Cricetulus griseus: one gene and its partner. The protein of the gene in region 2 purifies or fractionates together with the protein of the main gene of each other region. This does not show direct contact. Links are inferred from orthologs where the notes say so. Each region holds a gene or a part of one and is shown on either strand. Other genes may lie near its edges.

The links. The genes of interacting proteins can lie anywhere in the genome.
Region 1: the proteins of Ofd1 (region 2) and Cep20 purify together in Homo sapiens (co-immunoprecipitation; 3 studies listed by BioGRID and IntAct, with this or other methods). This does not show direct contact. The link is inferred for Cricetulus griseus from reciprocal best matches to the Homo sapiens genes OFD1 and CEP20.

What each region holds. Positions count from the first base shown.
Region 1 is NW_023276807.1:75,497,016-75,501,024, forward strand, and holds the start of Cep20 (centrosomal protein 20), read right to left. Parts: upstream 2,808-4,009; 5' UTR 2,679-2,807; coding exon 2,651-2,678; intron 2,517-2,650; exon of another isoform or gene 2,211-2,516; intron 70-2,210; coding exon 1-69. UniProt on the Homo sapiens protein: Involved in the biogenesis of cilia. Required for the recruitment of PLK1 to centrosomes and S phase progression.
Region 2 is NC_048604.1:101,192,463-101,195,974, reverse strand, and holds part of Ofd1 (oral-facial-digital syndrome 1 protein), read left to right. Parts: intron 1-156; coding exon 157-230; intron 231-1,556; coding exon 1,557-1,648; intron 1,649-2,932; coding exon 2,933-3,122; intron 3,123-3,512. UniProt on the Homo sapiens protein: Component of the centrioles controlling mother and daughter centrioles length. Recruits to the centriole IFT88 and centriole distal appendage-specific proteins including CEP164. Involved in the biogenesis of the cilium, a centriole-associated function.

The DNA of each region.
Region 1 (4,009 bases), on a different chromosome or scaffold from region 2:
AAATTTCAGCACGGATCCTTGCTTTTAAATGTCCTAACACTCCCTTTTTTTCCAAGGTGTCCTTTAAAACTGTTAAATATGAAATATAAATGGTTCTGTTATACACTAAATGTTGCAATTTCAGGTATGCGCTAAGGAATAATGCTTGGGAAGAAAACGACACAAATGTAGCTCTTGGTATAAAGAGAAAGCTCATTACAATAAACACATACAAGTAAACATGGATGCTGAAACTTTTTGGGGTATGTTAGCTTTTATTTTCTTTTAAATTTCATTTTATATTGGGGGGTGAGGTTGCAAGGGCAGAGGGTGGATATAAAGGGATGGGGAGATGAATTGGATTGGGATGCATGATATGAAATCTAAAAGAATCAATTTTTTAAAGGTCACCATCCCCTAATAGTAATCTGGAACCTTCCCTCTTCAAATAGTCTTCTGTGGCTAAATGGCAATTCTAGAATACAGCAAGAGCTCACTAAATGTTACAAACGTATAACACCAACAGTGCCTTATACTACTGGTTAAAAGAAATGTTTATTTTGTTTTTTTTTTTTTCACGACAGGGTTTCTCTGTGTAACAGACCTGGCTGGCTGTCCTGGAACTCACTTTGTAGACCAGGATGGGCTGGAACTCAGAGATCCACCTTCATCTGCCTTCAGAGTGCTGGGATTAAAGCTAATCGCCACCACTGCTCAGCAAAAAAGTATGTTTTAACTCTGCATTTTGCTCTGCCAATGGCAAAAGCGTTATTAAGATGCCACAATAAAATTCATAACACAGTTTATCCACTTAGGTACAGACAGCAAAGTTCCTAAGCTTTGGTAAATAACAACATCCTTGGTCATAAGATTAAAGATATATACTCCTAGACTTATCTCTCTTCTTTGTTTTTAAAGCATCCATTCATTCCTTCAACCTTTCTGCAGGTATACTAACTGCAGTTGTCAACCAATTACACTTGGTAACAGACCCATAAAAGGAAAGCTTTATCATACTCTTAGGATCATAACACAACCCTTGTTCTCTAGTTCCATCTTTGGAAATTAAATGGAGAGATTCTTTTCTACTGGCAAGCATCCTGTCCCAATTACTCTGAAGTACACACAGTACAGCCTCAACCTTAGCAGAAAATGAAAAGTAATGAAGCTGCAATTGGGAAAGGTGGCATGTCCTTCATGTCTTGGTGGGCATATTCCTAACGATGCCTCAGCGGCCTTTTCTTTGGTAATGAACCCTGCCTCTCAGAAAGACCTAGGTGAGATGGAAGAGTATTTTAAGTGAGTAAAAGGCCCATAAAATGTTAAGATTATTGATTAGAAAACAAGTTTTCATTACATTTCTCTTGGACACAAAGCATATCAAGAGCCCACGAACATAGAAAAACATGTAAAGAGGCCCCTAAATCTATAGAGATCATTCCTAACCTTCAGGTTCTCACTTTCTGGTTTTTTTTTTTTTTTAAATCATTTTACTCTTTGAGGTTTTATGCTTACAACACTGTTACCATAAAGACTTCTTCAGGAAGTGGTCTTATTCTGACTTATTTCCCACCGAAATATCTTGAAATCCTATGCGAAGTTTATACAATATCATGAGTGTTAATGTATCCCTCCCACTCCCCAAAAGTGCTCTACTGATTCAAGGGAAGTCCCTCCTGGGGACTGAGACATACCTGTTGTTTTTTTTAATTGCTCACCAGCACAGTGCTCCCAATACACATTTAGTCAATGGTTACTAAATTATAGTCTCCAAGCTACTCTCCTTGGTCCTCTCCAAAATTTTCACTACCACTCATTTAGTCTCTGAAACTCAGAAACGGCTTTATTCATTGTGAAGCAGAATGGCATGGCGATTAAGACCTGGTGCAGTACTGTATGTACCTTATAGGATTTCAACACCAGTCTATTTCCACCTAAATTATCTTGGGTGAAATATCCCACCTCTCGGCACCTCAACTTCCAGGTGTGTGAAATGGACAAGAGGGTTTGTTGCGAGGAATCAAGTAGTTGTTGGATGAGTTGTGTCTGACACAGAGAATCACACACTGAATCTTAACGAACTACAATTATGACTCAAACATTAACTACAGTTACTATTCAGAGTTAACAGCTGCACGTGTTATTGATGGCTACTCTTTTGTTCTGTTTTGTTCTGCAGTGCCCGGGATGGAACCCAGGGCCCTGCACGTTACTGCTTTGGAAACACTCACTCTTCCCGAAAGATCCCATAGAACCGTCAGGATGGGCAACTCTGCCTTAGGTTTGTCCCACAGGACAAGGAGGACCTGTCCACCAATCGTTGAGAACTGTGCCACCAATCGTGTGTGGCTGCGGTGTTGCCATGCTCAGTCCTGAACACAAGACCTAGCCTTGGCACTGTCGGCTAACCAGGGTTCTGAAGACGCCCAGACGTCAGGAGGACAGGCCTGCAGCCCTCTCGGGGACTAACGATTCCAGTCCCTTCCGGCCATCTCCAGGCTGGCCCTCCCGCCGCGCATGCGCAGCGGGCGCTCGCTCTCGGGCGCGGCCACCTCAGAACGGCCCCGGGAAAAGCCGAGTCGGTGTCCGCGCGCTCTCCTTCCGTCCCACCCCTGTCACAGACGCAAGGCAGGGCGCTTCCCACTAGCGAACGCCTCCTCAGCGCACTCACCAGCTTTCAGCTCAGTGACGGTCGCCATTTTTTAACGGCCCCGGGCCTTACGCCTCTGCTGTGCGTGCTGCGTGCGTACGCGCGACGTTGCGGTGTGGTCTCCAACCAATAGGAGCTCGGACCTCTCCAAGCGCACCCTCTGCGGGTTCTGAGTCTGCGGTCGGGTGATTGGTGAGCCGTCACCAGAGGCTCTACCAATCAACGAGCGTGTGAGGCGGGCCCTGATAGGGAAAGGGGCGGAACCAGGGCCGACTCACCTCAAAGACGTCTCTGACCCACCCTTGGGTCTTAATGAATCGAGGACCAAGAGTTGGTTTCTCTGTCAAGTTCCCGGATGCTGTGAACGTCGGCTGATGCTAGTCTGAGGAATAGCAAGCACCTCAAGAATCACCTTGCGGAGGGCACTCACTAGGAAGCCTTTACACGCCTCAGGTCAATGATGCCCATTTTACAGAGGAGGAAACTTGAGTTGTCAGTGGTGAGCAGGCTTTCGTCAGGATCACCTGCAGAAGGTGGAGGTGATACCCAAACCCAGACTCATATCTCTTCAAAGCCCGCCCTCTACGCCAGCGTTAATACTGAGTACCTGTGGAGTCCCCGGGCTATTTGTGGAAATAACTGATAAAGGAATAAGATGTAGCATTACAAAAAGGAAAAAAAGAACAAGAAATAGTACTTTTAAACCTCGTGAGGCAGTATGACTACAGCTGCCTCTCCAGGGAGGCCAAAAGACACTGTTAAATAAGAAGCAATCTTGACCTAGATTCTAAAACTGGACCCTTAAAATTCTGGACAGCCCAATAGTAGAAGTCTATTAGTTGATGCTAGTGAGCATATTTTCAAGCAAGTGAAATGTGATAAGAAGTATAGACTTAAAAAAAATATTGTGTAGTCCAGGCTATCTGGGCATTCACTCTGTAGCCCAGGATAGCTCTGAACTAACGGTTTTCCTGCCTCTGTCTGAGAGTGCTGGGATTTTACCAGTGAGTGCCACCATACTGGTACAATTCATTTTTGTTATTAAATTTGCCTCAGGAAGATACATGTGTGTTCTTCCTCGGGTTGGGTTTGTTCCTATTTATTTATTTATTTATTTATTTATTTGGTTTTTCGAGACAGGGTTTCTCTGTGTAGCCTTGGAGCCTATACCGGCACTCGCTCTGGAGACCAGGCTGGCCTGGTAAATGCTGGTTTAGGTTTACCCTCATCTTAGCACTTGGGAGGCAGAGATAGAGGCTCCCTGGGGCAACGTGTCTAACTAGACTAGTCAAATCAACAAGCTCTGAGTTCAAGTGAGAAACTTTGCCACATTATAAAAGGTAGAAAGCAATGGAGGAAGACACTTAAAATCAAAACTCT
Region 2 (3,512 bases):
TGTTTAGAATTCAGTTGCCTAGTCTTAGAACGGAGACTTTGAAGTTTCTCCTCAGCCATGTTGGCACTCTTAGGTATGCTGGGCCACAAACCTTAGGGTTAGTGGTCTTTTTGAGGGAGATGGCAAGAACCTCATCTTAGTCATTCTGATTCTCAGATACCAACTGGAACTAAAGGATGAATACATCGCTCGAACAAATAAACTACTGGAAGAAGAAAGGAAGACTAAAGGTGATATGGGTGGCTGCCTTGTTTTAATTTTGAAATAGGTTGCCTCCTAAGTTACATCTATTGTATATTTTAAATATAGCTTTCACTTTTTTTGTTTGTTTTTTTCGAGACAAGGTTTCCCTGTGGCTTTGGGGGCTGTCCTGGAACTAGCTCTTATAGACCAGGCTGGTCTCGAACTCACAGAGATCCATCTGCCTCTGCCTCCTGAGTGCTGGGATTAAAGGCGTGAGCCACCACCACCTGGCTCACTTTTTACAAAACATTTATTTACTGTTATTTGTCAGAGGGAGGGGTTTGTGTGCTATGTGAAGGTCAGAGGACTTATGAGACTTGGTCTTTTTCCTTCTACCATGTGGGTCCCTAGCATTGAAATTAATTTTCAGACTTAGGAGCAAGTATTTTTACCCACTGGTCCATTTCACTGGCTTTTAATTTATTTTTTAATATTTATTTATTTTTGTTTCATGTGTGTGGGTGTTTTGCCCGCACATATGCCTGTATGCCATGTGCATACAATGCCTGTGGAGGCCAATAGAGAGAGACAGATCCCCTGGAGCTGGAGTTACAGATTGTTAACTGCCATGTGGGTGCTGGGAATTGAGCCCAGATCTTCTGAAAGAACAGCCAGTGCTCTTAACCACTGAGCCATCTCTCCAGCCCCATTATAGGAAATTTTACTTTCTCTGTCCTCTATGACCAGGTTTCATAGTTCTCAAGTTTATATTGACCTCAGACACTGGAAGTTGAGTAAGTTTTCAATTTTCAGATATTTTACATTTTAATATATTTGTAGGAAATAGTGAAAAGAATATGAACTTTGGAAATTTCAAACACTTTTTGAAGTAAACCAGAGCTGCTTACTTGCTATTGACTAGATACCAACTATGTGGCTCCTTTTGCTCATGTCTTATAGAAGCAGATGCATCTCTTGTAGTTTAGCACTATTGTGTAGTTAAATTTATTGAATTTCCTTCTGATATTATCTGCATGGACTTTTGTGTTAAACAATGGACAAACTACAGAAGAAAAACAGACGTCTTTGCTTTTTAAGGAAAGTAGGCTCTGTTAGTAGGTCCATGTCCTTCCCAGATGGAATAGCTGGTTTGCATGTACTAGGAATTTCACCACATATATGACATGTGATTTGTCACATGTTGCGTAATGGGCCTTATTTCTTATTTGCTCACTCAGCTTTTGACTTATACACTTGTTGCTTTACTCTATGAAACAATGGTGATTAGGTCTCATAGAATGGCCACAAATTATTAAATGTCTCTTACGTTCAGTAGGAAATCACTATTTAACTGGTTCTTTTTTATTCCCTAGAAAAAACTATTCATTTGCAAGAGGAGCTCACAATTATTAATTCCAAAAAGGAGGAACTCAGTAAATCTGTAAATCGTATGAAAGAAGTTGAGGTAATTGTTAAACCCATTTTTTAAATTTCCTTAATGATGTTAGAGTTAATACTATTTATTATTTACAGAGAACATTGGGGTGTTTTGAGATTTATTTATTTTTATTTTATGTTTATGGGAATTTTGCCTGTGTATACAGTGCCTTTGGAGGGCAAGAGAGGGCATAAGATCCCCTGGAACTGGAGTTACAGAGAGTTCTTAGCTGTCATGTAGGTGCTGGGAATCAAACCCAGGTCCTTTGGAAGAACAGTCAGTGCTCGTAGCACTGGACTCTCTCTCCATCCCCTTAGGCCTTTCGAAGTGCTTGGGCTGATTACTTTATGATTAAGAAGGTGATACCTGAAGTTAGAATTCAGTAGGTTCTAATTTCAAGCAGAGGCACACAGAGACATAGAAAAAGAGCTTGAATCTAAGAGTCCTGCTGCTCAAATCATGTCTCCCTCCCTTACTGCTTATGTGCCTTTTGGCAAATTCTGTGAGTATAATCTTGGAGATATTTCTAACAATGCATGATTGTTGGGTGAGTTGGGTGAACTACCCATAACAGATGGCCAGTATATCTTAGCTTCTATCCTAGCCTGTTCTATTCCATTGGTAGCAATTAAAATTTTCTATCACTACATCATTCTCTTACAGATTTTTTTTAGACAAAGTAAGGTAAAGTTTTTACATGCCACTGGTACTATACTGCTTGTCATGTAATGGACAAAACTAGAACTTTAAGGTAATTAAAGGAGATTGTAGCTGGGTGTAGTGCTGTACACATTTTATCTTAGCACCCAGGATACAAGCAGATCTCTGAGTTCCAGGCCAAACAGAGCTAAGTGAGACCCTTTCTAAAACAAACTGAAGTATATACTATAGGTGGAATTTACTAGTTCAGCCAGGAGATCTGTGTAGACTTTCAGATTCAGATATGGGACATATAAGACTAAGAAAAGGAAAGCACCTCACAGCAATAGAGATTGTTTCCACCTTTTATCTGTTCATGTTTTTTAAATGTCTTGTTAAGTTGTGCAGTTGTATTGGTGACATTTGGGAATTGCATTCACCATACACTTTTTTTTTCACCATACACTCTTTACTTACTTCATAGGACAAAGGTCTATTGATATAGGTTCTGAGCTTGCCTTGGCTTATCACCAGTGCAGAGAGCCTGACCTCTGTCTGGTAGTCACTGTCATTTATTCATTTATGATGCTTAGATTCAGACAGCCTTCCTGCCTTTACCTTTGCAGTGCTGTGAAAGTTATTCAGATATAAGTTTTCCTTTTTCAATTTTAGCTGGAGCTAGAGTCTGTCAAAGCCCAGTTTTTGGCAATGTCAAAACAAAACCACTTGCTGAATGAAAAAATGAAAGAGATGAGTGATTACTCACTACTGAAAGAAGAGAAAGTGGAGCTTCAGGCACAAAATAAATTACTTAAACAGCAACTGGAAGAGAATAGGAATGAGAACTTACGTCTCCTAGACCGTATGTCTTTTTTTTTTTCTGATCTGCATGTTTCTGTAACTTACAGTAGGTCAGGATTATAGAACATCTTCCTATCTGTAAGGGGGGCTTACGTTGGGAGAATCTTAAGATCCTTATATTGCAGCTGCTTTCTTTTTGCTTGCTTTTGCATAATTCATAGTTTCATTCTAAGTAATATTTGTTAAATAACTGCCTCTATGGGTGGCTTCAGGGTTCATGCCCTCTGACTGTTGCCTCAGTTGAGCCAGGAAGCACTTGGAGCAAGGCAGGGAGAGGAAGTTGAAGTTGTAGTTATTTCTATTCTTAGTCTTGCTCACCAGGTACACCAGTCTGGACATACTGTGTCTCTCAGGCAAGAGAACCTGCAGTCCCTGCTGGGGGGCCTCCCAC